Caenorhabditis elegans: one gene and its partner. The protein of the gene in region 2 purifies or fractionates together with the protein of the main gene of each other region. This does not show direct contact. Each region holds a gene or a part of one and is shown on either strand. Other genes may lie near its edges. The genes, in order: K07H8.8 and lat-2.

Region 1 (15,757 bases), on a different chromosome or scaffold from region 2:
TGTTTAATTTTTGTATTAAACTTACTTTAACCACGTTTTTCTCCTTTTATTCATATTATTCTATGAGTAAATTGAAACAAACTTACATTCCCAAATGATTATTTTCTATTTCGACCGAAGTCTACATATATCCATATCCTGTTAGTATCTAAATATACCCAATATTCATACCCTCATAGTGCAAAAATTATATGCTTTTCTCAAATTTTCCTCTGTTTCATGACCCTCCGGTCCCAAAAATTGTCGTTTTCCGTTCCGTGTCCCCAATCGCAAACAACCCAACCTAAGTAAGAAACATAAAAAGTGATCATACAAAACAATTTTCAAGATCTCTGTCCTTTTCTCTACTTTTTAATTTCCATACTGTAGTTTAATAACCCCACGCGGAGGGTTCAAATTTCTGCAAATTTCCGGGAATTTCAAATTTTCAATTTTCTATATTTCCTTGAAATTTTAGAATAGAAATTGAAAGGAAATGATGATATGAAGGACATTTAAATGAGCACAATGGGGTGTCAGTTTTCGGAATGAAGAAGCCAATGGGAGGAGATCTTTTTGTTTGTTCAAATGAGTATTTTGACCAAAAAATGAAATAATGAGCAGTATTTACTTATTTTCTTGTTTTTGCCATTTTCCGTGTGGTAGGTAACTTTCAGAAAAAGTCACATCTCAGTAATGAATTCTTTATATAGATTTTACTATCGTTTCCATTATAATCGCTTTTCAAAAAAAATTACAAAGAGCTTTCAACAATATTCGTGCACTTTCTGCTCTGACGAACCCCGCCGTAACCTCTACCACCTGGATTGAGGGTACATCTATTTTTGATTCCAGCTTCTATAAATACCAAGTTTCTATCAATTTTCAACATCAATTTATCATCCTCCTCCACCCAACTCCACCCAACCTGCTCATTGAACTTTTTCTCCTTCATCTCCTCCTCCTTCTTTTCTTCTGTTTTTTCATCTTCCATTCAGATTTATATCAAACCCTATCTTCCAACACCTGCACTCATTTCTCATGTTTTCTCATGCTGAGCCGTTCTTCGCCGCCTTCTTTGCTCATCTCTCTTGCTTCATTGTTTGTTTCACAAATTTCCGGAGTCAATTGAGCATCCGATTGCTCTCACTGCGAGCATCTGCAGCCATCAGTTCGGTGTCTGTATCTCGTGTCCAATTTCATATTCAAACACCACTACACAATATTTGTCGTAACATCTTCTAGGTCACGTCTTCATTTTCGTTTTACAAAATTTGATGTTTTTAAGGAAAACGATATCGTATGGTTTTGCATTTCAAATACATTTTATATGAAAAAACAACCAGTAAAAAAACTTTCTAGCTATTTAGCAGAGAACTGTTAGAAATTCTAGCACGTGACTACAATCCAATTGAATTTGTTTAGAAAAATCTCATTCCGTTTTTCTTGGTTTTTTTCGCATTTTCTCAAACAAAACCAACTCAACGTGATTTATTTCAGTGGGCTAAAAACCAAAAGGTTTTGATCAAAAACCACCAATGGGAAATGGTATGCGTAAATATTCAAGTTGCGATGACTACTACAAAAGACGCAGGAAAAATAACGGTAAGCGTACCTCAGACATTTTTCACGATTAGTATTCTAATATGTAAATTTTCTAGACGGTGGTGCCAATTTTACAAAGGACTATTGCGAGTATTGGAAAACCGACAAAAAAGGAGTAAAAGATGATAACTTTGCAATCGAACGCAATGAATTCTCATTTTCTAATAATTGTGCATGTAAGTAAACTTTTCATGACTGGGTACCTAGATTTACGAGCTTCTAATTTGTTGGAATTTCACCTAACCATTTGAAATGACAAGATGTTCATGTGTACTTTTCCAGTTGGCACATGTGTAGACATGAGATAGGCAGACACGTTTGTACCTAGAGGCAAGCCTAACGTATACTTTTTGTTCACAAGCCTTAACATTACAATTTTTTAATATTTTGAAATTCATCACGTCATACTTTTTCTACAAATTATCCATTCTCCCATGTTCTTCATACGTAAAACTGCGAGATTCGCGTTAGAATTCGTAACTTGTCTCTGTTTTCTGCTCAGCTCGGTGTTTGGTTTTTTTGTTGTTGAAATAACCCAACAATTATATTTAGCATTTTGAAAATAATAACTTCTGAGATAAATACTCTAAAAAGAGAGAATCTAAAGGTTTTACAAAATTCCATAATTTTAAAGACAAAGTATTTTTGCAGGCTTAATGGGTTTTCATATTACTTACAAACGAATAATTTTCAGATGACTCTCCTCTTCGAAACAGCCGAAAGCAACCAACATCATTCATTTCATCGTTTGATAATTCGAACAACTTCTCTAAAAATCTGGGAAGAAGATAATCAATTTTCTTCCATTTTTACTATGTTTTTGTGATTTCATTACATTGTGATCCCATTCAACATTTCCTATTTTTTCCATTTCTACTTCCAATTGTTTCCTATATTCGCATCGTATTGGTAATGGATTTTGATATATTCTATTATTTTCTTTTGAATGGGAAAATATAAACTAAGTTTTCCATGGAGGTAAGAAAATGTCAACCTTCGTGCCTACAAAACTGGCGACGCCAGTTTGTCAGGTACCTAGAAAGGAAGAATTTAATAGAGTACATCAAAATCTTCTAAAACATTTCCCTTTTTTCAAATCATATGTACATGCCACTTCTCAAGTATCCTTCATTTGTTTCAAAAGTCCCAAATTGATATCTGAAAATTTAAAAATAAAAATTTTAAAGTAGAATATCATATTTCATTTCTAGTGCTCTAGAGGTCATGAGCATGCTTCAAAAAAACAGGAATAAAAGGAAACGAACATTTGCAACAAAGAAAGGAAAATGTTGGTGGTCATATTTTGTTTCTTGAATATTCTATTTTCGGTGACATCTTTTGATCTTGAGGACGACGATGATTCATGGAAAGAACTGACTTTCTCAATAAGAACAGATGGTGTAAGTGTGAAAAACCATTTCCTTCACCTAGATCCTTAGAACTTTTATGCTCACACTAAATGAAAAAAATCGGAACTAGTTTTTCTTTCCGGTGTTGACGGCGTGCTTACCTACAACCTTTTTATTAAATTTATGCGTAAACCTATTCTGAATTCCGACACAACTAATAAGCATAGTTTAGATCTTTCCAGCTTCTTACCCAGTTTTTGCCAAAAGAGTTTTTGCCTAACTTGGGTTTCGGCAGTAGGTGCACATTTAGGCTCATGAAGTTATTTTAGTATTCGACCAAAAACCTTCTGTTTTCAGAAAGTTGATTTCATCCTCAAAAAGCGGTTTAATAATCTTACAATCGTTCGTGCCATTTTCACGTTTTTCCATCAAACGTAGATGACAATCTACATATTTATTTGCGAGGCTACTTTCCTAACACTTCGCGCTAATTTTGTTTTTGATCTGTTGAATTCTTAAACATACTACAAACGGAATCGCTAATCAGCAAGATTTCTTAAAATATTTGTATTTAATAAATAAGTGTTTATTCTTACTTGTTATATTATTCAGAATGGTACTATCGAAAGTGCTCATATCCAATGGACTGATCGTTTTGATGACTCATTTGCCTATGCCTACACGAACGAAAATCGGACAGATTTGAAGTTTTTGTAAGAATGTTTTTGTAAGAATTTGAGCAACGACGTGTTAGTCATAAATGAGCAGAGATTGTATTATCCAAACACCTACAATTTTCCTAGACTCGAAAAGAAAATTGTTCTGATTGTGAGAAGTATGAGTCAAAAATTATAATTCTAGGCGTTGTTGGTAAATTGTGGAAATTCTAGATATTTTCTAATGGCATGATATTTGCATGAAGTCAAAAACACCAACTGCTACTGCAGTGGTCGCCAAAATTTCAAGTTGGAAAATTAATATAATTTCAGATATGACAAGCCACGCCCTGAACTATTCGTCAGCAAAAACTTCATCGTGGACGCATTCACTCAATTCATGGATTTTTTCCAGAATCGAACAAAAATTTCCAGAATTAGTGTGACGCTTCCATCATTGACAGATGATCTCAAGAAGATCACAAAACGAAAAAATTCCGTTAAAACAAAACCAGCAATTGATAATTTTCGTTTCAACTCGTATGATTCATTGTTGTACAACGAACTTTTGAGGTTATCTACCGGAATCCCGAAACAGTTGAAAATTTCATTTTTCTACTATCCTGAGCGGACTGAGAAAGTTCTGGACGGTACAATTTTGAATCATCCCAAGGTTCGAGAAATCACTGAACTGGATCTTCGTACTGTTGAAAGTGATATTAATGATGCTCAACTTCATCAATTGGAATGTGAATCTATTTCTCTGAGATCTTCCACGGTAACCAATGCAGGAATTAACCGAATTTTAAAGGTAAACATGTATCTAGACTCTGTCAAATAAAAATGTTGTATTTTGATTTCAATCACATGATTTTTCTTCACCACTTCATGAATTGAATCTTTTGAACTATTTGCGAATATGAATGAAAAAATGTAATTAGAGATGTTATCATGTAGGCTACCATTTTTCTTTATTTCCCAATTTCTCTAATGTACTGTGATATTTCTGAATTTCTGCAAATTGTGTCATTCTTTTTGATGTAATATCAATAAATCATCAAAATTTCTGTGACTTTTTAAAAAGTATCACGATAACATCTTCATGCGATCGTTGCCCCTGTTAAAACATGCAATCATACGAACTTTTTCTATTTTAAGGAATGGCAAGATGGATTACGACCGACTCGTTATTTGAAACTAGTGAATGATGATTTACAAAAGGCTGAAATTATGGATGGAGTCTCGAAACGAACATTGCAACGTGGCGTTTGGGAAATTAAGAATCGATTCAACGCCTCGGCTACTGTAACCGTAAGCCGTGTGCCGACTAATCTATATGATTCAAAGCCGACGTTTGAGTTTGCGGTTTCTTAAAAAATCATGGTAAAAAATAAATATCAATGTTATATTTTTTTATTTATCTATTGAACCATTAAATGCATATAGCTTGTCTAATGAAATAAACTTGATAAGTAGCCTGTCATAACACATGTTCCGAGAGCACCGATAGCACGCCGCTTGTTTTGCTCTGAGCATCCGTTGGAGCTCAAAAATCTCAATTTTGAAACTTTGTTGCTTAAACCCCATATTAAATTATTTCAGAACATTTTACTTAAAAAAAGACATGTCTCATTCGAAATACCGGTGGCACCTTCACCTAAACTATCGTAGTTGCACACATACATATGGTCAAATGTGATCGATTGGTAAAGAGCGAACACACGAGAAGAGAACTCATTACTCGGCTGTGATGATGGTCATTTGAGGCTGTCATTTGACGGTGGGAACCGCGGGGGTCTCTCTTCGGCAGTCTTACGGGAAAATAGAAGGCGGAAAATGCGCGGAAAATGAGTGAGAAGGAGTTTTTCAATGAAAATGAAAATGAGAAGGTGGCGGGCTCCAGTGCAGCTTTGATTGCCTTCGGAAAGAAAGAAGGGCATGGTGTAAGAAGATTAATAGAAGAGTTCATTAATTCTCTGTAAAATCGTCTGTGTAAAAAGTGAACCTATCGATTTCATCTCCAAATGAACTTGTTCATGATCATAGAATCCAAACTGTTATACTCAAGAGACAATCATCTAAAATACTTTTATAGGTATCAAAAAACACAAGTATTCAAAAGAGAGTTCACATTGCAATGGTGCTGGCACCTCCAGTTGTTGTAGATGATCCAGTAGTGCCACCAGTAGTTCCGGCTGTTGTTGCGCCTCCCGTGGTTCCACCAACGGTAATTGCTCCGGTTGTAGTGTTTCCGAATCCAACTCCAGTGATTCCACCAGTTGTTCCCGAAGCATCACAACCGTAACGTTTGTACATGCCGCGGTACCTAAATATTAAAACTGCATATCACCAAATAATTAATCTTTTTAGATAGTGAAACTAATAATTAGCCAAATGGAAAGGGTTGGCATGTTTTTTCTTCAGACTGAAAACATCTTAAAAACTCACCAGAATCCATACACTGTTCTTCTCAGAACGTAGAAAATTCCACCGATAATAACAGTCCCGAGAAGTGATCCAATAATGAAACCAACAAATAATCCCCATGCCCACCACTTTCCAGGAGTATATGTATTAGGATTTTCCTCCTCGTTGCTACCAGTTTGATAATCGGGATTATTAATGTAACGAACTGGCGGAACGGTTGTTGTTGGAATGTTTGGTTCGATCTTCGGTGGTGGTGGAGCGAGAAGCTTTTCTTTTCCCTCCCCAGTTTCGTCTCCGCTTTCTCCCTCCCCATCAATCTTATGCACTTTGCCAACATCCTTTTTACTGATGAAGGTTTTTCCGATTTCAATGTTCTGAAATAAATGTTTAAAGGGGTTTTTTTTTTTCAGAAATACAAACCTGAGAAATGATTCCTTTGTTTTCTTTCAAATCATCAGACTTTTCGAAGAAGAATGCCACTTTCGATGCTGCTGTTGCATCCCACCACTCAGAATCAGATACAACGACTTCACGGAACATGTTGGCCACATAAAACTGGAAAAAAATATTTAAGTTTGAAAGGTTAGATTTGCGAGAATCGCACAAAAATGCTGTATTCAGAGATATCTGTTTTTTTTTCAAAGATAAAAAAAATGTTTTACTTTCTGAAAATTTTGGCCAAAAATTACGATTGGACATTTCAGACAGGGCTGATTCAACACTCAATCCAGGATATTTCAAAAATGAATTACTCATGAACTTTGTACAAACCTCTCCTGGAAGTTTGCCATTAACTTTATCTCCATAACCAAATCCAACTTCGATTACATAGATTTCTGCATCCGCAATTGCCCGAGGCTTCAGTTCCATCATCGAAGCACGTCCACTCTTTGGCCAAATGACAAGTCCGTTACGTGGCATAATGTACAACTCGAACTTCTCTTTGCAAATTGGAGCACGCTTATCATCCAAAAAATGTTCAGGATCAATGCAAAGTTTGATTCTAAAAGTTAAAAATTCCAAGTTAATTTCAAAGCATCATATCATACCCTTGTGTTTTCCCTTTCAAGTAGAGAAGAGTCTTCCAACTTCCCGCCTTCATCGTCAACTTGACAATATAATACCTTAAGAATCAATCTATGCGCCTTCTTGATTATTAAATGCACAATTATTAACTGCCATACAACAGCTTTCACTTTCTCACAAAATCCACATGAAAACAAACACCAGCCACAGCCAAAACGCAAAACAATTATCGATCAGCTGGCACTTTTTTATTTTCATTTATCTCAGCTTGACGTTCTCGGTTTTCTCTACGTTTTCCACCGAACTGCAGATTTGAGTGACTGGAGGATTGCTGCGGCTCTTTCATTTTACCATGTTTATCCGTGGAGCGCATTTGAAGCCCAAAAACTTTCAAGCTCCTGTCCAACTTATACTCACCTATCATTTTGATCTCCGTGCAACTTGTTCACAGCTTGTACTCTTTTGGTCGAGAATCACAAGTTTGACTGATTGACGAATGATGTTCAATTCGCAAAAAGAAGAACTGATTCGTTTTAATTCTGAATTGGCAGATTAACTGATTGATAACAATCTTCTACGTGGCAAGATGGTTTAGTAATCCAATGAGGCTTCACGGATTAATTGAAAAAAAAAATACATGAAGAAATTAATTAAAGAAGTGAAAGGCTATATTTTAACTTCACAAAGTGACCACGTTTCTTCAATTTTTTAAATACAAAAATTTTTTTAAACAGGGATTTGTTTGATTTGTTTGACAATGAGAATGTTCCGCCTCACTCACTAGTCAGCTACTCTTTTTTACCATAGCTATTAGGTCTCCAAATAAGTTCCGGGTCAAAAATCATAACTTTGTTCGCTGCGTATCAATTTTTATGAAACTTTGGGAATTTATATTATCAACCATGGTCTTTCATTTGACAATAGTCACAAAATTTTTTGACCACCCCAAGTGGCCTAACTCGGAGCCAATTTTTTCAGGCATTTTTCTGATCTCGCTTTTTTTCAGTTTTCAATTGAGCTTTGTGTGCGATTTTGCTTTGTTTAGAATACATTATTAGAAAACAACAAAAGTTTGGAAAAAAATCCGCCCAAAAAAATTTTTTTTGGTTGGTCGTCAAAAAATGTTCAAAAAAATTTTTGTCGAAAATTCTAGATTTTTCCTACAAAAAAGATGTAACCAAGTGTAAACTATTTTTACACATATAAATCATTTGAGTTAAAAATTTGAATCTCAAGAAATATTCAAAAAACTAAAAAATTATCCGAAAAAATTGTATTTTCTACTATCATTTTAGTGTATCGAACTAAATTGATATGTTTTGTATGTCTAAAAATAGTTTACACTTGGTTACATCATTTTTGTAGGAAAAATCTAGAATTTTCGACAAAAATGTTTTTGAACATTTTTTGACGACCAACCAAAAAAAATTTTTTTTTCTAAACTTTTGTTGTTTTCTAATAATGTATTCTAAACAAAGCAAAATCCGCACACAAAGCTCAATTGAAAACTGAAAAGAAGCGAGATCAGAAAAATGCCTGAAAAAATTGGCTCCGAGTTAGGCCACTTGGGGTGGTCAAAAAATTTTGTGACTATTGTCAAATGAAAGAGCATGGTTGATAATATAAATTCCCAAAGTTTCATAAAAATTGATACGCAGCGAACAAAGTTATGATTTTTGACCCGGAACTTATTTGGAGACCTAATATTTTTTTTTCTCGAAAATTCGTTATTTTTGAAAATAAAAATTTGAAAAAATAAAGATTTGAATGATATCCCAAAATATGTCTTACAGGCTTACATTAAATATGATTTTTCCGTTATATTTTCTTCTAATAAGCCTTACAACTTTTATTTTTCTGACTGTCCCGTTGCAATAAAGCCAAGGGTATGAAAACATTCCCACTGATTTCCCCGAGGTTCGTTTTTTTCTTTTTTTTTCTACCATTACAGCTTATCTAAGAAATAAACCTAAGAAAATAAAAAGAAATAGTATTCGTATCTTAAAATAAGCAAATTAATCTTAAATTTCTCTCAATTTTCCGTCTGCTTCGTTCCGAGACTCGCTCTTTAAAAGTCGGCAATGTCACACAAAATAAATTGAGACTGATGTATCGGATGAAAACGAGTTTTCAGAAAATCGCGGAGGAAGGGAAAATGACTCAGGAAAAGCGCTGAAAGATTTTGGCAGGTAGTTAAAAGAACGAAAAACCTTGATGCGGTCAATGTTTTAAGTGGCATGTTCTTTTATGCCATTCGATGCTTGGTTGTTTGGTCTTAGTTAAACAGTTTATCCTGGACGAGTTATATGTTTCAGCTCTTTTCACATTTTTGTTGCAATTAACCAAACCTATTAAATACTTATGCCATCCTTTCATATAATTTTAAAATAAATTTTTCTGTCACTTTGCCGCTCCTTTACTACCAACATTAGTACAACCCTTTTTACACTAAACAATTCTTTCGGTTATGGTTTATCAAACTAAATACAAAGTATTCTGATCTGTTAGACAACCGGATAATCCAATAGTTCCCTTTTTGCTCAGAATATAATGTTTAAATATTTATGTATTTACTTTATTTGATTTTTTCGTTAGGGCTTCAACTGTGAATGAGAAAAATTACCTCATGCAGATTCTATTTACTCAAGAGCTTTTTTCTCGGTCAAATACATAAAACTCACCCGTTAATGGTGTTTTCCGATACCTATCAGATGACCTATGCCGAAGATCGGAAGCCTTTATTGCGTCTGGATAGTGGTGAAGGTGGCGACATTGATGACTTGGAACATTTCACGGAAATGTTGAATCCCTATTGCACAACTTCAAATAAATTTTATTACGGAAAAAAGGGTTTGTTAAATTTTATTTTGTTTGCTTATTTTTACTGTTTCTAACAATGATTTTACATTTAGCTGGTTTTTGAAATTAATAATCACACTATAAAGTTTCATATTTGAGATGTTTCTGGTGGTGTTTTTCGAAAGTCTTTTTCAGCTATAGCATTTAAAATGGGAAGTTACTTCTAAATGTTTTATTTATTTTCAGAAAGGTATATTCCGAAAGCGGTTTTGGTAGTAATGGGCATATTTTCAATATGTTTCAGTATTGATAAATATCAAATATTAATGAAAGAAATTGAATCGAAAGAATGTAATGATGTACTGGCAGAATGCAACAATATACCTTTTAATCAAACATTTGTTCCACCATTTTATGATTATCTTCAAGATTTTACAGTAAGCTCCGCTAGGCCACAGTTAAATCTAAGCCCTTTCAGATTTCTCCTCGTTATGATATATCTCTTTGTCTTATTCCAAAAGTTGTGTCTACAATCGGAACTGCCGCAATATGTTACATACAAGATCCGGAGGCTTTCACCAAAAACAACAGAACAATATCAACGGAAATGTATGGTGGAAGGTAAGTTTGAGCGGTGTTGGTTCTCAGCAGTTACAGCTGGTTCCCAACTAAAACTGAATGAATTGAATGAAAATTTAATCAATTGCAGATTTTGCGAAAACAATGAATTGAAATCTTTTAAAATGGTGCAACGCAGTTTGAATTCTAACTTTGATAATATAATTTTCACACGAAATCCCTATGATCGGTTCATTTCAGGATTTACCGAGAAGTGTGTAAAGTAAGTTTAGATTTAGAGGATAATATCAGGATCTGCAAAATATAAATTTTAGTAACACGGACACAAATATTTGTCACGGATGTGGAACCGACATCCGATGTTTCTTGCAGAAAGAATATCGACGTTTAATTAGAATGAGTATGCTATTTCCTGTTTACACTGGAGCAGACACACATTTTGCTCCTCAAACTTGGTGAGTTCTCAACTTCATTAAATTCTTCATGCCAGGATTTTAAGCTGTCTTTTGAATTCATAAGAGGCTACAAGAAGACAAAAGACATAATGTCTCGCTAAGATCAAGATAACAGTTTTTGTCTAGCCTATTGCCTAATTCATGTTTCCATTTCTCCTAGTCATGAGAATCTTCAAAAATTTAAACCAAAAGATCGTTCAACGGTTTCTCAGGTACTGCGATATGAAAAACAACATCAAGAACTCAACAGTAATACAATATTCGAGTACGGGGACAGAAAAAATAAAGATGATTGATAATTTATTGACCGTTTTCAAAAATAGAAATGTACCAGAAGAAAATCTGAACGAAGTCAGAGAAGAACTTTCAAGTAAGCTTTTTTTAATTGCATTCTTGATTTCATTCAATTTCAACACTTTCAGAAGGAAAAACCCAGCACTCAACATCTGGAACATCTCTACGACTTAAATATGAAAAGCTTATTGAAGAAGATGGAGCTATCAGGAGAGCTTTACAGAGAATTTATTACTATGATTTTTTATATCTTGGGTATTCAATGTAGACGGGTTAAACAAGTAACTATGATTGACAGAAATCGGACAATTTTCCCCGGTGTTGCATTTCAATTGTATTTCCGTATTCTGATTGTTTCAACATAAACTTTATGTTTCTAAATACTCGGCATTTTGCCATAGAGTTCCCTCGCACTTCTACAGAAAAATCTGAACTCTTTGTGAACTCTGACGACGTGCGAGAGGAGACTGTAGAAGTGAACTCTGTGGCAAAATGCCGAGTTGTTTGAATTGAACAGTTCAAATTGGAATATGTTTAAAGTAAATTTTCCACAAACAAAAAATTGTTGAAATTGTTTATTATTGAAATCTATAAAACAATTCAATTGACAAAGATAGTCCTACGATGTGTATGATTGTGAAGAAGAGGTAGTTCAATAGTCGAACTTGTCGCACTTCTGGTCGACGGCGACGCGAACGGTGCGCTCCTCCATTTGTGGTTGGTCACGAAGGTTGCGGAGCTTGTGCTCTGGCCATTGGGCGAGTGGCTCACGGCGGATCTCGCGCATTTGACGGCGAGCCCATGAGTTGGAGGATGGGAGGCAGTAGACGGAGGTCTGAAATGTTACAGAATAATTGATTGAAATGTATAACTACTACCACCTTTTGCTTCTTGGACTCCTGTGACTTTCCGTTTTGGCAGCGAAGAACTGGCTTCTGGGTGAAGCAGATCTCGTGTTGACGCTCGACAATAGCGACTTGCTCAGTTGGCTCATCGTCTTGCTCGCGGCGAGATTCCTCGTAGTTCATCTCTTGGTCCTTCTCCTCCTCTTGATTTTTCTCAATGCGTTGGAAGTTCTCCTCCTTCTCGAACATCTCACGCTCGTAGTTGCACTTGGAGTCCTTGTACAAGTAGCTCTTGGCGAACTTCTGAAAATTGAGATGATTATTGTTGTGTATCAAAATTAAGAAACTTACTGGAATGGTGTTCTCTTGGTTCTCAGCATCATAGAATTCGGTTTCCTTCTCGTTGTCGTAGTGGCCGCAAAGTCCGCATTGTTGGTTTCTGTAGAGAGCGGAAAGGTGAATACGGGCATTGACTCCATCGAATTGAACAGTGACATCATCAGAATCGAACTTGAGTGTGTTCTTGTTAAGCCAGATGATGTTGTATTGCTTCTTCTCAATCTCAGATTCTGGTTGGTACTCGATTTCTTCTCCGTTGACACGGCAGATGAGTCCTTCCTCAGTCTTGTACATTTCAATCTCGTTTTCTCCGTAGACAACCTTGACGTTCTTCCACTCCTTCTTCTCGTTGATCTTCTTCATAAGGACAACGAAACGGGGCTCGCTCTTCTCAGATCCACAATCCTTGGCGAGAACGGAGTAGCATGGGGTGAATTGGTTACGGTAGGCAACTTGGTCGAAGGTGTTGATCTTGGTGCTCTTGACAACACAGTTGGCTTGCTTGGAAGCGTGATGGGCGATCTTCTCCATGACTGGCTTCTGCTCGTAGCGGGAGTTTCTTGGCTGGTAGTGGATTTGGGCAGTTGGAAGTCTGAATGGAAGCTCGACACGCTCAAGAACGGTGGTCTCCATTGGGGTCTCGATAGTCATGTTGACAGTTAGACGTTGGCGTGGTTCAACATTGATTGTGGCACGGATCATGTTCTTGCGGCTTGGCTCCTCACGGGTCTCGATTCTGGAAGTCCATGGGTATTGGGTGCGAAGATAAGCTTGAACCATGTTCCAGTATCTGGCGAAGTATTGAGCTGGCTTTGGCTCGAACTCGTACTCAACAACAGTTTGGTATTGGTCAAGTCTAGATGCCTCGAGAAGGGTCTCGTGCTCTGGGGCTTGCTCAATTTGCTTGACGAACTTCTTTTGTTCTTGGGATTGTTGTCCGTTGATGTTGATGTGAATGGTGTTCTCTCCGTAGTTCATCTCTCCCATAACAACGAGTTGACGGTACTTTTGCTCCTTGAGCTCCTCAACAGTCCTTGGGGTTTGTGGGTAGACGTATTGGATTGTAGCCTTAAGCTCTTCTCCGCGGATTTGGGTCTTGCAGAAGTGGAAGTCATTGTTGCAGACAGCCTCAACCTCCATCTTGACAACCTCTGGCTTGATTTCGAACTTGGCGACGTGTTGGTAGACCTTCTCGTTTTGGAGCCATTCGAACTTCTTTGTGATCTGCTCACGGTGCTCTTCCTCATCGTATTCTGGCTCAGCCTCAAGATATCTTCTTCCGTTATGCTTCTTGTATACCTTCTCGTAGTTCTTCTCCATCTTGTAGTTGTTGTACAAGTTAAGCTCAAAAATAGCCTCGTATTGCTCAACATTTGGCTTGTAGTAGACCTCGACGTTGCTGTCAACTATCCATTGTGGGATTCTCACGCTGGTTGGGCGGTTGAGAGTTCCTTGAACACGGATTTGTGGGTATTCACGGTCAAGAGATTGGCTGAGTTGTTTGTGGGCTGGGAGCATGTAGGTCATCTCGATTGGTTCTGGGTATTGACGAGCATCTGGGGCGACAGTGCGGGTGAAGGTGACTGGACGAGATTGGATCATGGCGATTCTCTTCTCCTCGGATGGGGTGTTGTAGATAGCACGGATAACAACCTTGTCTTCCCAGTTCATTCTGATCTCAGTGTCAACTGGAGTATTAAGGACGGCTTGGTGAAGGAACTTGGTTCCGACCTCGGCGATTGGGCAGATAACTCTAAGAGAAAGGACGTGGGTGGAGGCTACACGTGGCCCAGCTTGAACACGAAGGCGAAGTCCGTCGAAGCTCTTTCCGTTCTTTGGCTCAAGCTCGAAAGTTACTTGTCCGCGGATGGAGGAGATGGTTGGCATCTTGGAGGTGAATTGAACTGGAAGTCCCATTGGAGTTGGAACTCTGCGGACGGTCTCGTAAAGGAAAGCAGCGTTGGAGGCAGAGAAGTGGATTCCTTGGGCAAGGACTCTCTCGATATCTCCGATCTCAAGTCTTCCTCCTTGGATCATGGAGCGGACAACCTCTGGGATTGAGTCAGCATCAATTGGAAGGAAGGCGTAGTCCATATCACGGTGTCTGATGTAGACAAAGGCATGTGGATCTTGCTCAGATGATTGACGACGGGTGATGCGAAGCTTCTCGAGAAGGTTGCTCAAGAATTCAGTTGGTTGGAAGGATCCGGAAGCTCTCTTTCCGCGAACAACGATTTGTTCAAGTCCTTTTTCTTGAACATTGGAGAGAAGTTTCTTGATGATCTTCTCCATATTCTTCTGGGTAAATCCGATTTGAGCGAAGTATTGGTTCCATTCTCCGGAGAGAACTCCTTCAATCGAAGCCATCATCTCGGTTGGGAGAACAGATTCGGTGGTGAAGAGGGAAGCAAAGTTAGCTTCGAATCCGGATTGGTGGCGTCTGGAGTAGGTGGACCATTTTCCATAGACAGACTCGAAGCGATCAATCTCTTGGGATGAGAATGGGATGTTGTTGAGAAGAGATTGAACACGGGAAGAGAATGTCTGCTCGCATGGAGACTCGTTGTTAGCATAAGAACGGAGAAGGGAGAGGGTGAAGGCACGAACTTGTTGGTTGCGCTCTTGTCTGAGTTGGTTTCCGATCTGGGAAAGGACGGACCATTCTGGTTGAGTGTAGATGATCTGATGGAGTGCAGACATGCGGATGTGTTGTGGTTGTTGACGGTTAAGGTAGACTGGCATAAGAACACGTTGAATCTTTGTTGGCATCTGGGTGCGAAGACGACGGAATGACTCGATGGCTTGTGTGCGGATGGTGGTTTCGTGTTGCTCGTTGAGAATGATCTTCTCGAGTGGGTAGACAGAGAGATCAAGTCCGGCATTAGCAAGGGTCTTCAAAGCAAGAACCTTCTCGTAGCGGGTGGATGCAGATTCGAATTGTTGGACGAGCTTGTCAACGATTCTTTGCTTAGCATCACGTGGGCACATCTTGACTCCATTCTTCTGGACGAAGACTCTTGGGGTTTGTCCGCACACTCCATTGACAATAGCTCCGTAGGTGAGCCAGCAGGATTGACGAAGAGCTGGGAAGCTTGAAGATACATCGGATTCGCAAAGGCGAGCGATATCTTCAGCAATAGCAAGAGATGGGTAGCGCATGTCGACGAGTGTCTTGATGGCAACGGAGGCTTTGAGTGGAGCAATGTTCTTGCGAGATTGAACCTTGTCAACGAATTGTTGAATGGTGACACGAGTTCCGGCGAGAGCAAGGGTGTTGAAGTAGATGGAGCGAAGTTGCTCAGCAATCTTCTCATCCTTGTGCTCAGCGACGTGGCGGTAGATTTGTTCGAGTTGCTCCTCGTTGCACTCACGGAGAACCTTGACGATTCTGGCAACAGTGTGTG
Region 2 (15,757 bases):
TCCTATGCAATCCCTTACACATCTCTGGAACCGCACATGTCACATTAACGAATGCCACGAAATTCTTATAGTCTCTCACGAAATACGCTTCTCTGAGATTTCCAGTATCACAGTCAGGCAGAGGATCCTCACTGATTCCGATCAAATGAGCAGCTGTTACAATATGCCATGGAGAGACTAATGTTCCGGTTCCATGCTGAACAAATTCATTTTCCGAAAACTTATTTCCGCCGTTTCTAAAAGATCCCGAGCCATCAGAAATTCGCTTCTTCATAGCCAATGAGACCGCCCATGGGGCTTCACCAATTTTCACTTCTTTACCGTACAATGCCTTGTATTCCTCAGAAGTTCTGCGATGAGAGGACAAAGTGGTAAATCCTGGCACATATCTTCCACAGTTTGCTCGTAGAATCCGGTTTTCTCGTGGGCTCAGCCTTTTTGCAAAGGTTTGGTAGATCAAAATTGAAAAGAAGAAGAAACATGAAAATGTAAACCAATTCATTGAAGAAATAACAATAATTTATGAAAACAGTGACCGGTAGAAGTGAGTGAGTGAGAGATGGGGAGAAGCACCATATACACCCCCAGAATTTTATGGGGGGGGGGGGATGTTTTATAGATCGTTTTGCGTCGGCAATAAGTAATTAAATTTACAGTACTCAAGAAAACAAAGTCATTAAAGTCATGGGTCTCTGAACTCGGCATGCCAAGGGTTTCCAGAGAAAATGTGAGCCCAGAAAATGTCGGGCACTCTGAAAATTTTTTTTCGGGGGTTTGTGAAAGTGGGTAGGCACAAGGAAGGCAGGCGAGGAGCTTTAGAATAACTTCGGTAACTTAAAATCGATAATCCTTGGATCCAGATTCCGAAACCGGTGACTCTGGAGGTGCTATTACTTTCGCCTTTGTCCTGTGCTGAGATCCCCGTTCACTTTGTTTCGCGCCCAGTGGGAACTTGATTCTCTTTACTGGCGCTTTCTTCTCCACCGCCGTTACTTCGATGATCTGGGATCCTCTAGGATCCGAAGAGGCATGGCTCATTCGCTCGATTTCGTTGTTGCTCACTATCATTGGATTCAGGTCAACTGTGACTCGTCGACGGAGTTCTGGAATTTCGTCTTCTTCCTTGATTTCTGCGCTATTGAGATTTGAGTTCTCCAGGGTCCCATTCAAATTGTTAAAATTGCTCTCCGGAATCGAAACCGAGTCCTGATTTGGCAACCTGCTCAACCAATCCGTTGTCTTTGTAATCGGAGTCAACTGTTTCTCTTTGTCATCTGTACTTGCTGTACTTGGATAACTATGTCCGTTTACTTTTATCATATTCAGAATTCTCTGCCGACTGCTCAAGAAGCTTCTGCTGTTGTATGCAGCACTGCTTGTCTCCGGGAGGCAGCAAATTCCAGTTCTCAGCCATCTTACAATGGATGCTCGAACCTTCTCGTTGAGCACAACGTGGAGCACGAAAATGAAAATTCCTTGGGTGCAATTCAAAATCGTGAAGATCCAGGCAAAAGCGGTTCCAGTACCACCTTTTACTGCTGTGAGGAATCCGAAGATCCATGTGATTCCAAGAAGACACAGCAACGTGGCAGACCCTTTCAACCATCCGATGATTCTTCCCCACTTTGTACGATCTCTACTTTGAACTGATAAAACGACTTTTAGGGCGATGAGTAGGAATATGATATTGGCAGCGATGATGACAATAATTGGAGCCACAAATGCCCAGATCGTCGGGGTGGAGGTGTCGATCCAGCAGCTGGAAAATTCTCCGATTTTTCCGATTTTTCCAACAAAAAACTCACTAAGAATCAGTTCCATAATCTTCCCATTTAATTCCAGCAGATATTGCCACGACAACAGCCGGAGTTCCATAACAAAATAGATAATAAAGGAAGATTCTTGTACGATTTGGTTCGAATACTTGAATAAGCATCATGTACAATTGATATCCTTCTAGAAGCATCCAACAGAACGAGGAGAGGAAGAAATAGTGCAGGAGAATTGCAACAACTCCGCAGCCGGTACGATTTCCAGTTCTGTCCATGCCTGGAATTTGATATTATTTTTCTTGTTAGGTTTTAAAGGTTCCAACATTTTTTTTGAATTTAGGACCCCCTGACAACTTCACTCAGCTTTTTTATAACTATAATTTGAACATCTTTAAAAAAAGTTTGAAAGGCTTTTAGAATCTTTTTATAAAAACACAAAAGTCCTCGAAAAAATTTAAAAATCGTCTGGAACAACAATTTCAGATTAAAATTTGAATTTCAATTAGAATTTAAAAAACAATTTGTGAATACCTTATATGTAGATATTTTGAAGTGAATAAAAAATTCCCATAAGGAATAAAAATACTTACCTATCACAAAAACCAACTCGGCAATCAGAAGACACAGGCAAAGATTTCGATGAATCGAATTTCGAACATTTTGAAGATTTCGGAAGAATGTGAATACACATACACTCAATGCAAGACACACTATTGAAATTGCACATCCAATTGTTGAAACGACGTCAAGAGCCGATGCAAGTCCACCGGAGAGTCGTCCAACTTGACCGGATATGTCCATGAGAATTGCAAAACTGGAAGATGGAATGTGGTCGTATTAAAGTAGTGAGAAATGAGAAAATATAGCACAAACTCTCCGAGCAAAATAATAAAAAAAAATCTGAAGATTTTAGAACAAATAAAAAATCAATAATAATTGTCTTTAAGAATTTTCAAAGCTTGAAATTTATTTTTTAGTTTTTATGTTTTTCATTCTAAAGGTTTTATAATAAAAATAAGCAAATTAAACTGTAGATTTATAATTTTGTAAAACGAAAAATTCTAGAAATTTTTTTTCAGATTTTTTTCATGATATTATTCTTCGACGAATTATTTGTTTTTTTTCTCTTAAACAATCACAATAATATTTGCCTCTTCCCCTTTTTCCTTTAATTTCCAAATTTTTCTCTGTTTCTGTCCTCTACCACGTCACTGTTTATTTGAAAATGGAAGAATGATGAATTCGGCGAACAACAAGTATCACACTAACCTTGTCAAATGAGTACATGAACATTGTGAAGAGTTTGAAGATGTCGCGATAAGTGTGCACCCTAGTGTTGACCATTTGCTGGAAAATGGAAAGATGATAAGAGTTTGAAAATTTTAATTTTTGTTTGAATATTTTTTAATTTTTTAAAAAGAATCAAGCATTTTGAACAGGATATCTAGAAGCATTTTTTGATTTTTTCCCTCCTAAAATGTCAAATTTCCCGCTATTTTTGTAAATAATTTATTTTTTCAAATTTTGAAATGTGAATTTCATAGCAATTTTCTTTTTGAAAAATCAAAAATAAATGTTTAACTTTACGCTAAATAAAATATTTGAAAAAACTCAAACTTCGCATCGAAACCATCTGGAAAAAATAAAAATTAAAGCTCGAAATTTCTGCAAAATAATTTCGAAAACTTAGCCTAGGCTTAGGCTTAGGCTTAGGCTTAGTCTTAGGCTTAGTCTTAGGCTTAACTAGGCTCAGGCTCAGTCTTAGACATAAGCATAGACTTAGGCTTAAGCTTACTAAGTTTTCGAAAACCAAAATTTGTAATTTTTAATACATTCCCTATCCCGTACCTTTCCATCAAATCCCAATAAACACATCTCGGATTAGAAACTCCTTTTGTCGTGAGATGTTGAAATGTGAAAGTAACTGGATGATCAACTGGAAGTGTAACACTTTGAGTTGCATTCTGAATTGATGCCCCAATCACTTGACTATTGATTAATGTGTGATCATTGTTATTATTCAAGAGTTGTCCGAATCCGGCAAACGCGTAATATCCCAGTTTAACAGGATTCCTATTTAAATTGGGAGTAGAAGCCATTCCAACTGGAGTGTCATCTTGGAATGAGGATAGAATACTTGGACCACCACCTGCAACTGGAGTTGGAGAAGCAAGGGAGCTTAGAAGTGAAGCTGATGGTAGAGTTATTGTTGGAGATAATTTAAGGGATGGGAACATGATGGTGGTATTGGTTTCTGGTTGTGGAGCAGGTGGAGCTGCAGCCATTACTCTGAATTAATATTATTAGATTAACCTAATTTGGCTGATCAATTGCCATAATTACATAGTTCAACAATTTTTAGGTTTTACCAAATTTAAATTTAAACATTTCTATTAAATTTTCATTCATTTCTATTAAATAACATTCTATTAAATTTAGCAACTTTAGAGTGTATTTTTAGAGCTTTTAACATTTTAATGAAGAGCAAAATCCCCAAAGTTGCCATCTCCAAAAGGTTTCAAAAAGTATCAAATTTCACAGGTTCATCGGTTCATCGGTCGCCCGCGTCACAAATTTAACATTTATTGAACTTTTTTGTTGCTTTTTTTTTCAAATTTTTGTAAATAAAATGAAAAAAAAATAAAAATTCAAATAAATACCTCATCATTCCCATGTCATCTTGAACATTTGGGGAAGCAGCTGCACCAAAAGTTTGAACTTCCGGCTCAGAACGCTCGACTTCCATGGCTAAAAAATTAGATAATTAATAAACAATATTGCCTTAAAAGCAATACAACGCCTGCCTACCTTCCATGACATTTGGCAAATTTACTCACCCCAATTGATATATTGCAAATTCAACTTCTGATCTGTCATATAATCTCCAAGTAACAACACAGATTGCTCAAGAACACTCATTAATTTCGACGCGTGCTGTATTCTTATCGTACTCGAAAGTTGATCCCAAACTGTTGCAGCAACTGGAGAAAGAAGTTGATCACCGGATCCACCGAGGTTCTCTGTGAAGTTTCTTGCTTTATTCTCACGGAGATTACGGTCATTTAGGACACTGAATTGGTTTCGAGCAAGGCTGAGCATGTCATTGCTCAGGCGGACGGTTCCTGTGATGTCACCTCCGAAAAGTGTACGCTCGATTGTTGATCTGGAAATTTGGATTATAGAAAACACTTTATTTTTACTTTACAATTAGTTCCAATTTTCTGATATTTCGGGTTTAAAAAAAGTATTTTTGGAGATTCTCTGATTCTAAAAAATTGAATATAAAAATTCGGATTTCCGATTACGGAATTGGTTTTGAACTTTATTTGTTTTTGGCTACTGGATTAAAAAACAAATTTCAGATTTCCTCATTAAAATGGTATTTAGATTTTTTGAGAATTTCATTTTTCCTATTGTTTTTTTTTATTTTCCATTCTTAGTAGTATAAAAATTCGAATTTCTGATATTTAAAAAATCATTTTCGAATTTTGATGTTTTTTTTTAATTTTCCATTTTTAAAGGTTTCCACAAAAACTCACTTCAACTGCCTATTAACCGTAGAACTAATATCCTCAACAGGCTGATTATCTTTGATTGCAGTTTCCATTTCAGCCACCCATCGATGTGTACAGTTAGTTGTATCCGGTGTCTCCCATTTTGCAGTCTGACAGTTACAGTAACGGGTTACTGTACCTTCGACATTCTGAGGATCCGGGCAAGGTTGTTCGTGTAGCATACATGCACGGGTTTGTTCGTATGTGATTCCTGGAAAATTTGTGAGAATTTAAAGAATTGTTTTGTTGAATTTTTCAATGTTTAGGGTTTCTCAAGAAAACTCAAGAATTTTTTAATAATCGCTTTTAAAAGATTTCGAAAAGTAAAAATGTTGAATGTTTTCCAAATTTTCAATTTTTAATCAGAACATTTTTCAAACAAAAAAAATCTAAAAATTAAATAAAATTTCAGAAAAATACTTAACCAATTTCTGAAAAATTTTAAATTGAACAGCTGATTCTAAGAGGTAGAGCTTTTTTGAAAATTTTCGAAAACTTTGGAAAAATCGCAAAAAATGTTTTGGATATTTTCTTTAAAAAAAAGCAAAATGTTTTAGTGTTTTTAAATATCAAAATTTTAGAAAAATCAATTTTTTAAAATTCTCACCATCTTTTTTCTCCTTCTTGCAATATCTTGGCTTGTTGATTGAATCCGGAACACTTGGACTGAAAATTCCAAATTATTTTTGTGGAAATCAAAGTTGTAGATAACTTCAAAACTAGTTAAGATATCAAAAAGTTGTCAACTGGCAAAATATTTCTAAGGAAATTTTAAATATTTTATCAGTTAAAAACATTTTGATATCTTTCATAACCTCTGAGATGCAGGCCTTAAAAATTGGGAATTTGCAATTTTAATTAATTTTTTTTCAGAAAATAAGAAAATTTTGCAGATATTTTGGCTGCAACAAATGTACCGGTTTCTAATTTATTGTAATATTTAATGTCACACTGATTACATACCTAGATGGTTCCGATGTACAAATTACAAGACTATCAACTAATACTATCCCAAGGAATATTACAGTAACCACTGATGCTCGGCTCATTCCGAAAACATGTGTGAGAAACGGAATGAATGCGCAACCGAGACGGACTAAGTATTAGTGACTCACTGGCAAATCAAGCTTACGGCACAGAGATAGTATATGATTTGAGGAGACGCAGAGATTAGAGAGATACACACAAAACCGGTTATAACCTCATTGCGAGAGAAAAGGAAGAGAGAGAGAGGGGCGCCGATCTTTGTTTGGCAAATATTATTTAATTTTCGATTGGTTTTTTTTGATTGACCCCCGAGTGCGCTCGCAATTCTGCAAATGGCGTTTATTCAGGTGAGGTCAGGGAAAACCGGAGTTTTGGCAATTGGGCACAAATTGCTAGGTCAAAAGCCATTGAAACGGAGTCAGTGGCTCAATAGCAAGTGTATCCAAAAAGAAATGTGACTGGAGCAAGGGTGCAAGGCAATTTTCTCACAGGCCAGTTGTCGCTTTTTTTAAATTAAAAATATTTTTTCTTAACCCGGCTCCGAGCTCCATCCAACTTGCACATTTCTAACTCAATTTCTTCCAAAATACATTGAATGTTAAACAAAACTCACGGCTGAACCCCGGTGTAGACCTCTCTCCGAGCCATAGTTTGAGATACAGGATCAACTGGAGCCGATTGTGTAGGACGTGCTGACACAGATGCAGTTGACTGGGGAACCGTGGAGCAGATGACGTTGGCTGTTGAAGATGGAGATGATGGGCACTGGGAGTAGGATGTTGAGGAGCCGGTGACCATTAGGAGCTGGCAGCTGGAATAGGTTAGTTGGTAGATAATTTGATACGTGGAACCTTACTTATTGGGAGTTCCAATCCAAAAATTCACGGTTTTCTTCGTCTCTGCATTCACTTTTTGTACAATTTGTTGGAGCAATGCGTCTGGAGGTGAGGTTATTATAGATCCACCCTGGAAATATCATAACCAATTTAATTTTCTAGTAAATTCTTAAAGGTTAGTTTTTCTTACACTCTGTGAGCAATATGTCTGAGCATCTTCCATCGTTCTCTGCTTCTTCTCGTTCGTCTCAATTGTCATACTGTAGCACCTGCTATCGAATTGAATGAGCCCGGATAAGCAAGATGGTTGTTGAGCTGGAAATACTCCAATTTTAGTACATAGTTGCTCAGTGGTACCCACCAGTTTCACATCTCATCCGTGTCTCCAAATATTGTTCCTGGGGAACTGGGCATGGTGTATTTGAAAATGTGCTCGTTAAATTTCGGATTTCACAAGATTGGAGGCCTTGGCATCTGGAAAATATTTACTGCTCTAGGTATTTTTACTGCTCTACTAGAAAGCGCGAAAGGATTACGGTAGTGCCATGATGAGGATACTTTTTTTGGGTTTTATGCCAGAAAATATATAATTTTTGCGATTTTGAAACAATTTTCTGAAGGTTTGCATTCAAATTTTCAGTTTTAAAACTATAATACTGCTCGGCGAGCTCTTACCAATCAAAAATCAATTCACTTACGCATTGATAACTGTTTGAAGTGAGTTGACATTTGAGCAAGTTTGTTCTCTCGATTGGCTCGCCTGGTTACACATTGAACTTTCCTAAACTCTTTTCCTTTTTTTCCAAAAAAAAAACTCAATCTTTTGATCTCTAACCTGTGCACCAAATGACGCAAAATCTACAGTAATCGTTTGATCGTTCGGACATGAAAATTGGAAATCATTGCTTCCACATGTTCTTTGGGTAGATGCTTGTTGATTCGTGGTCGATTGAGTCTCACAAGTCTGACCTCCATATCCATTTGGGCATGAGCATTGAGCAACGTATTTGGCTTGGATCTGCGTTGGAGCAACTTTACATACTGTGTATTTTAGGATGGTGCACAGGGCGGTGGTCCATTCACGGTAGAAGGAGTCGGATTGGAGAGCTACGCAGACGTCTAAAATATTAAAAATTTAGGTAACTGGTGCAATTTGTAATCTTTCTGTCGAAAAACGGTATCATTTCTGTGGCGGATTTCAAACTTTTGTCTCACAGTTCCAGATTTTTGTCGGAAGTTATCAACTTTCTGGCGCACTGTCTATATTTAGCTATTTCTGTTGCAGCAGATGGTAAACTTTCTGACGAAAGTTGCGGACTCTGCAGCAAACTTTCAACTTTTTGGAGCACGTCAGGAATTTTCTCTCGTTAAGCACCAACCTTCTGACGCGCATTGCTAATTTTCTGTTGCGTTTTGTCGACTTTCTGGCATACTTTCATTAAAAAGTTTTGGAATCAGAAAATATTGATTTTTTAAATTCACTAGATTTAACTTAATTTGAAAAGTTTTCAAAATTAGACCATAACAATATTCTCACCATTATAATTCACATAAATGTTCGGCTCCTGTGGCGCCCAAAACGTGTCAGTTACCAAAAAAGAGCCGGGATAATAAACCCAAGAGGCTCGCGTCACATTGTTAACTCCACGCACAGCAGTCCAAATTCCATCTGGTGGGGGTCGCATATCGGCTGCTAAAAATTAAAGCTCGTTTAAAAATAAAGCTTAAAGCTTATTACGTGGATTAGATGGAATCATGGCTTGTAGGTAACCAGCAAAGAACGCCTGATCTTCAGCCGATTCGACGAGGGGAAGTGTGGCACTGTTCATGTTGTTGCAGTAGAGGGCTGCCTGGAAATTTTTTAATTTTCAGGTTTTTTTTAGAGCTTTCTGAATTGTCTGGGACTCTTACAACTAACAACCTCTAAAACCTCTATTTCCAAGGGTTTTCCAACAAAAAAAATCGATGAAAAATTTCAGAGTTTTTGCTCTTCTTTGTGAGCTTATATCTCGGTGCTCTTAAGTTTTATCAATAAAAATCAACCGGCAAAATACGCACAAAATATTTATGTATATTTTGGCAGTTAAAATTTTTTGATAAAACTAAAGCCAAAGATATAAACCGTTTAAGTGGAGCAATCCAAAGGATGCATGTCTAAAAGGTAAGCCCTACGTGTAGTCACAAAAACGTCTGCCGGCCTGCCTTACGCTTACGACCGATGTAAACAAAAAACCTACTGCAAAAAAAATAGGCTGTAGGCAAACAGGCAGGAAGGCAGGCATGCCATAAAATGTGCCGCCCAACTCACATCATTCCAATTCCTCAAAGTCGTATCGAAAACGTAGCAGGATCCCATATAATAAATCGAATTCTTGGGACAAGTCGCCGTTGCGGGGACACTACTTGCCACAAGGCATGTCCCTCCATTTTGACAAATGTTTGATTGGCAAAGGTTCACATTTTGGTTGGAAACCTGGCACTGAGCCAAACTAATAATGAATATGAGAAATGGATATTTTAGCTGTTTTGCCATACAAAATCAAAGTTTTGAAAAAAAAGAAATGGAACGATTTCGAGAGCGGAGGTGGTAGGAAGGAAAAGGCGTTGGCCGTGGTGCCAAAGTGTTTGATGAGCACTTGAGGAATACATACGGCCGATGCTTTTTCTATGTCCCCCATCTCGTGCATTAGGATGACATGTTGATTACGGAATGGCATTGAGGTAAGATAATCTCGTGATCAATGCAAGTTCTAGAATTTTCAAAAATCTATTTATTATCGGAACGCTAGAAACAAGTAATCAATAATAATCTTCATCTTCTTCTTTTTCAGCTTGTGCATCTCTTCTGAGTTTGATTTTGATTAGAGCCAGGACAACGATATTAATTAAACTGAGAATACCAACGAGCATCGACAACTGAATCCAATGATTGTAACGTTCCCAGAAGGATTTTTGTCTGAAAAAAATGTATATTTGAGGAATTACAAGTTTAAAATTAACTCACGAAACATGATCAATAGCCACAAGTGATCTATGAAGTCTCAACAATGCACGAAGATTCCAATAAGTACCAATAATTTCAGTCTGATGAGCAGTAAAGTCCAGATCAAAAGTGGATTCGATTGCTTCGGAGAATTCAGAGATTTCAGTGGATGCAGTTGCCATATTTGTTCCATTCAAGATATCAACAAATTTTGTCCAATCTTCAACTTTATATTCTGGATTTGGAAGGTTCACAAGGTTATCGACAAGGAATCTTGCATGCAATAAATCCGTATTTGACACGTCTGTATATCTTTTTTTGAGTTTCAAAGCATGAGCAAGAAGATCCTTGATTCGATGAGTTGTTGTATTCAGAACATCCAATTTCTTCAAAAATTCATTCCGTGGGACATCTTCGGAACTCGTGTTCACCACTTTCAGACAAAGAGCATTTCCAGTTTCTGCTAGTTTATCGAATACTTCTGATTCCTTGATAAGTCGGGACATGTCACGGAATAAGATGGATCCACTGATAAGTTTCTCTCGGAGACGAAAATTCTTTCGGAATCTGATAACTTCTTTGTATAAAGATTGAGTCTTCAAATCACTGAGTCCGTCCAACCTCTTCTGAACATTGTTCACACCAGTTGTCTTGATCTTTTGAAGTTCATTCAGGTCGACAGTGGTTTCTCCAGTAGCAAACATCGTTTTATGTAGATTGACGAACCCGATTCCACCTTTCACTTTTGATAGATCCTGTTGACTGGTGTTAATTTTATCTTTGAATGGACCGAATGTTTCATCTATGTACATCTCTAAGTTTTCCGTTGTCTCCTGCCACATTGGGATCTTTGAAATGAGAGCCTTGAGTTCCATGGCTTCTTGGTTGAATTTTTTGAGCTTCTCGACAACTTTTGGGAAATGTTTGTCAGCATTGTCGAAATTGTCATTTTTAATCACAAAATAACAATTAGATTTATCCATACTTCTCACGCGTGAATGGTAGCCTGAAACGGATGAAGATGCAGCATTTGTGAACTCGTCGCTTCCTCTGTATTCTTTCACAGCGGATTTCAGAGAACTCAAATTGCCTAAGGCGTTCAGAATATCAATGTATCCATTCTCAAAATTTGTCACTTGTGGATTGCTGGTGTTGATCAACTTTGCATATTCCACAATTCTTCGAACCGTTGACAATGAATTGGTAAAATCTTGTGAAGAACTTCCTGATTCAATCAGCAACTTCAATAGAGAATCCAGGTTTTTGATTGTGTCCGCTATTTTTGAATAATCATAAGTTTCCAGAGCAGTCCAGAATGTTTTTATGACAGAATCGGAGTCAAATAGTGGTTGCAGAGTTTTCAAAAGAGCATCCAATGGAGAATTGTCTTCAGTCAGTGTCTCTTTCAAAAAGGTTTCATTGATATCCCTCTTCAGATCTTCGATTTTCAGAAGTTCATCCGGAAATGCTCCAGTCCACTTTCTTAAATCGTTCAGAGTATTCTTGTCAGCATTTGTTAGTTTTTCGATGAACTTGATTGCATGTGATGACTCCAAGTACGAAAGAACATTCGAGAAGAATGGTGATATCGCCACTCCTGTACCGACTTGAGTCGCGGACACACGTGTTAGATCGACCTTTTTATAAACTTCCAGTTTCTTGTTGACAGATTTAAATACCGTCGTAAAATCCTCCTGCTCGAGATTTTTGAAGTTCTCCCAAGGTTCAAGAATTATATTCATGAGGGTTGAAAAATTTTGGAAGGCTGTTGCGGCTGCATTCTTATCAACATTTGGCGAAATAGTACAATTCATATATGTGGGATACAAATCGACATTGTTTTTCAATGTTGTCACTGCGCCCGAATATTTTCCAAGTTGTTCCAATTCATCTTGTTTCGTTTCAGGGAATTCGTTCAATTCTATAATTTTCTTATAGGACGGCGCTCTCACGTCTTCATTGTCTGTCGATATAGGTGGCAAACTATTGAACTCCTTGTACATCTCTTCTAAGTGTTCAATTCCATTTGTCAAATTGGAAAAATCCATTTCAGAAGTTTTCATTTTAGATAGGTCTCCAATGAGTCTTTTGATCTTTGATTGATCAATTTTCAATAATCCATTGATACTTGACTCCTCAATATTGAAAAATCCAGCAAGTACACTGATCATAGATGGTTCGAGAAGATCCGCCAAAATAGTGATTCCAATAGTTAGACGAGCATGAGCAGCGAGCATCTCAGAGATTCGATCGAGGGAAGAATCTGAAATAGAAGTTAATGAGTCTAGAGGTAAAAGATTTGAAGATTCAAGGGAACCTCTACCCAAGGCGCATTTGTCGAACTAGAGTTGGTGGTAATTCTAGGCAACTATTCTACACAATCTCAACAAAAAACCAGAGGCAATGATTTCATTTTAAACATTTTTAGAAGGGAGCTTGAATCTCTGAAACTAGGCAACAACATGTGTAACGCTATATTTTTTCAAAAAAAATAAGCTTTTGGCGTTTTTCAGAGATCAACCAGAAAAGAAAAAAACTCTCATGAAATATGATTAACTTTAATTTACATGGAAATGTACTCGTGAACTCTCAATAAGCTGCCACGTAGTTTCAAAAGAAAATCAATAATCCACGTCACAGAATTCAAAACAAATTCCACGTGGCAGCTACTCTTCTAGAAATTGACACCGTCTAAGATGTCAGAGCCTCTAACTCAGAAAACCATGGGTAATTGGCCAAAAACATGTCCGCTTCCTTAAGATTTACGAGCCATTCACTGACCTTCTGGAGCACTTCTAGTAACAATGGCTCCTGTTGCATTTCCACTGACAAATTGTGCAGTTAAACTCGTTGGAATATTATCATGACAATTAACAATTAGAAATCCAATGAATAGTAATTTCCAATCTGAAATCGAGCAGAATTGGAATATGCAGAAAAAGGTGTAAACTCACATTTCATTTTGATACTTTTTTACTGAAAGAACAGCAAAATTGAATATCTGCAGCAGAAAGTTGAAAATTTCTGGAATAAATGTTTGATGATTATTTGGACACACGTAGTTGTTTTTTGTTCCCTCCTTCTTTTTCAAGAAGTTCACGTGAAGTTATTTTCATTGTTTTTTGTTGAGAGTTTATTTGTGTAAAATTAAAAAAAATCACGTAATTTGTGAACTTTATCTTGAATTTTTGTTTAAAAGTTTACATATAAAGTTGTATAATTATAGCTAACACTAAATAACACAATCTTTTCAACGGTTTTCTTGATCAAAACTTCAGCTTTAGTTATCATTTTTACTTCCCAACTTTCCAAAAATGAATTCCTCACCCAGTTTTACTTCTCCACTTGTACTCCCTACACCCCCTTGTGTAAAAATTATATGTGCTCCGGAGCCGTTTCAAGACCCATCACAACATAATTCTTATTCGATTAAAATTATATTACTATTGGTTTTGGAAGTTTTGAACGTTATGGTTCAGAGTTTTATGGTTATATTTATTTTGAAGAAGAATTGCTTGAAGTTGGTAAGTCTGAATCGCCTTGGGTTCCGCTTAGGCTCAGGCTTTGGATTTCACTTAGGCTTCTGCTTAGGCTTAGGCTTAGGCGTAGTCTTAGGCTTCGGATTAGGCTTAGGCTTCGGCTTAGGCTTAGGCATAGGCTCAGGCTTAAACTTAGGCATAGGCTCAGGCTTAGGTTTAGGCATAGGCTTAGGCTTGGTGGAGAGAAAGAGAAAAAATAAATCCCAAAAAAGTTCCTGAAAGTTGACCGAACATTGTCAAGTAATTGTCATTTCAGACCCCATTTTTTGCATTCACAGTTGTCCGATCATCGATGATTATATTCCGAGTATCATTCCTAATCTTCGCAATAATTATGCTGGAAATGACATCTGAAAGTTCCCTTTTCCTAGAAGATATCCTTCAATTTTCTCTTCTCGTGGATTACTGTAGTCGATTTTTCTGCCTGACAATTATATTTCAAATGTCGTTAAACCAATTGTTCTGCTTTTTTTCTAAAACTTGGAATCATCGAATATTTGGCAACGTGCAAATTGTTATTCTTATTCTATTCAGTGCATCTTTTTCTATTACTATTGGAATACTTGGTTTGAGAAATTTCAAAATAAAACGAATATTTATCTTGTGGTTGGGATTCTTCGAAAACCCCTGGAACGGACACGGCGATATTTACAGTGATAAGGTAAATAAGGGTTACTTTAGTTTTAATTTTAACTTTTAAAAACATTTTAGAGTATCCATCGCATGTTTCATTTGTTTCCAGTAGCATCAATAATTTGTTATATGATTTTGTACTATTTGAAGAGACAGAAAAATAAAAAGGTTCTTATAAATACCACAAATATGTCTAGAGAGGAGAAAAGTGTTCATATAGAAATACTTATCACATCTATTTTATATTTAGTGAGTTTTTTGGGTTAGGGAATATGGGTACTTTAGGGGTACTGTAAAGGTATTTTAGGATTGCTGCAAATTAAGAAATCTTGAGCTGGGGTACCGTATGGGTACTGTAGCAGTACTTTAGATATACTGTAGGGGTACTGTAGACGTACTGTAGGCGTACTCTAGGAGTACTGTAGGGAAACTGGGGGGGGGGTACTGTAGAAGTACTGTAGGGGTATTGTAAGAGTTATATGGGGATACTGTAGAACTACTGTAGGATTACCGTAGTTTTGGAAAAAAATACTTTTTTTAAAGGGATATTGGTTTAGGGGTAACGTAGGATACTGTAAAGTCAAAATATAAAAACTGTCACATCAAATTTGACTACAGCGACGCGCGCGAAATATTCGCTCTCGATTCCTCATGCCGTAAAAACAGCTGGAACCACGGGTGATGACAGAAACGGGAGACGAGAAAATGCGAAGATACAGCGCAAAAACTGACGTTTCTAGAATCGAGAGCGAATATTTCGCGTGCGTCGCTGTAGTCAAATTTTATGTGACAGTTTTTATATTTTGATAATAGGAATACTGTAGTTTTTGGAAAAACATGTTGTCTTCTGAAGGGATATTGAGTTGGGATACTGTAGTAGTACTGTAGAGGTCCAGTAGAGGTCCTGTAGGAGTACTGTAAGAATACTATAGAGTACGGTAGGGGTACTGTAGGAGTACAGTAGTAGTACTATAGTTGTGTACTGTAGGAATATAATTTAACATCTTTCAGATTATAATAATTCCATACGACATCCTTATGAAGACAAAATATTTCGAACAAGATTCTGAGGAAGGCGATGCTCGTTTCCATTTCGCATCAACATTTCAAATTTTCAATCATTTCCCGGAAATATCCATGCCATTACTGAATCTGTACTTTAGTGGAATATTCAGAAATAAAATTGCACCGGGACCTGAGCATGGGAAATCTAGTGTTGAAACTGGCGCGAAAATTTGAATTTTTTTAAACTTTTTTCCAATTTTTCACACTAATAAAGAATGTTACTCTTCCAAACAAATTTTCAAAAGTACCTATTTTTATAGCGAAAAATAACAACAAAAAATCATTAAAAACCTATTTTAAAAAAACATTTTTAACCGAAAAAATTAAAGATCTTCAAAATTCTTTTTATCATTCATCATCGCTTCGGCCAGTCGTTCTTTCTTCATAT

Evidence for each region.
Region 1: the proteins of lat-2 (region 2) and K07H8.8 fractionate together in Caenorhabditis elegans (co-fractionation; one large-scale study listed by BioGRID). This does not show direct contact.

What each region holds. Positions count from the first base shown.
Region 1 is NC_003282.8:8,262,432-8,278,188, reverse strand, and holds K07H8.8 (sulfotransferase family protein), read left to right. Parts: upstream 1-9,776; 5' UTR 9,777-9,840; coding exon 9,841-9,892; intron 9,893-10,087; coding exon 10,088-10,278; intron 10,279-10,319; coding exon 10,320-10,462; intron 10,463-10,550; coding exon 10,551-10,682; intron 10,683-10,734; coding exon 10,735-10,875; intron 10,876-11,087; coding exon 11,088-11,245; intron 11,246-11,297; coding exon 11,298-11,437; 3' UTR 11,438-11,545; downstream 11,546-15,757. Other genes in the region: K07H8.12 (uncharacterized protein), read left to right, coding at 1,518-1,584, 1,641-1,760, 2,279-2,376; K07H8.11 (F-box associated domain-containing protein), read left to right, coding at 2,871-2,984, 3,546-3,646, 3,923-4,400, 4,748-4,963; K07H8.5 (uncharacterized protein), read right to left, coding at 5,717-5,915, 6,038-6,390, 6,437-6,571, 6,788-7,019, 7,066-7,118; vit-6 (Vitellogenin-6), read right to left, coding at 11,822-12,004, 12,048-12,317, 12,366-15,757.
Region 2 is NC_003280.10:4,353,007-4,368,763, reverse strand, and holds lat-2 (Latrophilin-like protein LAT-2), read right to left. Parts: upstream 9,700-15,757; 5' UTR 9,683-9,699; coding exon 9,458-9,682; intron 9,000-9,457; coding exon 8,888-8,999; intron 8,843-8,887; coding exon 8,687-8,842; intron 8,269-8,686; coding exon 7,985-8,268; intron 7,931-7,984; coding exon 7,848-7,930; intron 7,624-7,847; coding exon 7,511-7,623; intron 7,465-7,510; coding exon 7,340-7,464; intron 7,280-7,339; coding exon 7,170-7,279; intron 7,125-7,169; coding exon 6,927-7,124; intron 5,993-6,926; coding exon 5,934-5,992; intron 5,538-5,933; coding exon 5,312-5,537; intron 4,936-5,311; coding exon 4,610-4,935; intron 4,521-4,609; coding exon 4,433-4,520; intron 4,062-4,432; coding exon 3,621-4,061; intron 3,120-3,620; coding exon 3,042-3,119; intron 2,587-3,041; coding exon 2,363-2,586; intron 2,050-2,362; coding exon 1,806-2,049; intron 1,760-1,805; coding exon 835-1,759; 3' UTR 483-834; downstream 1-482. Other genes in the region: try-9 (Peptidase S1 domain-containing protein), read right to left, coding at 1-274; H20J04.1 (uncharacterized protein), read right to left, coding at 9,949-10,105, 10,154-12,395, 12,914-13,039, 13,087-13,093; H20J04.7 (Serpentine Receptor, class Z), read left to right, coding at 13,447-13,656, 13,928-14,332, 14,383-14,553, 15,316-15,543; H20J04.9 (Methyltransferase domain-containing protein), read right to left, coding at 15,693-15,757. UniProt on the Caenorhabditis elegans protein: May have a role in pharyngeal pumping during feeding.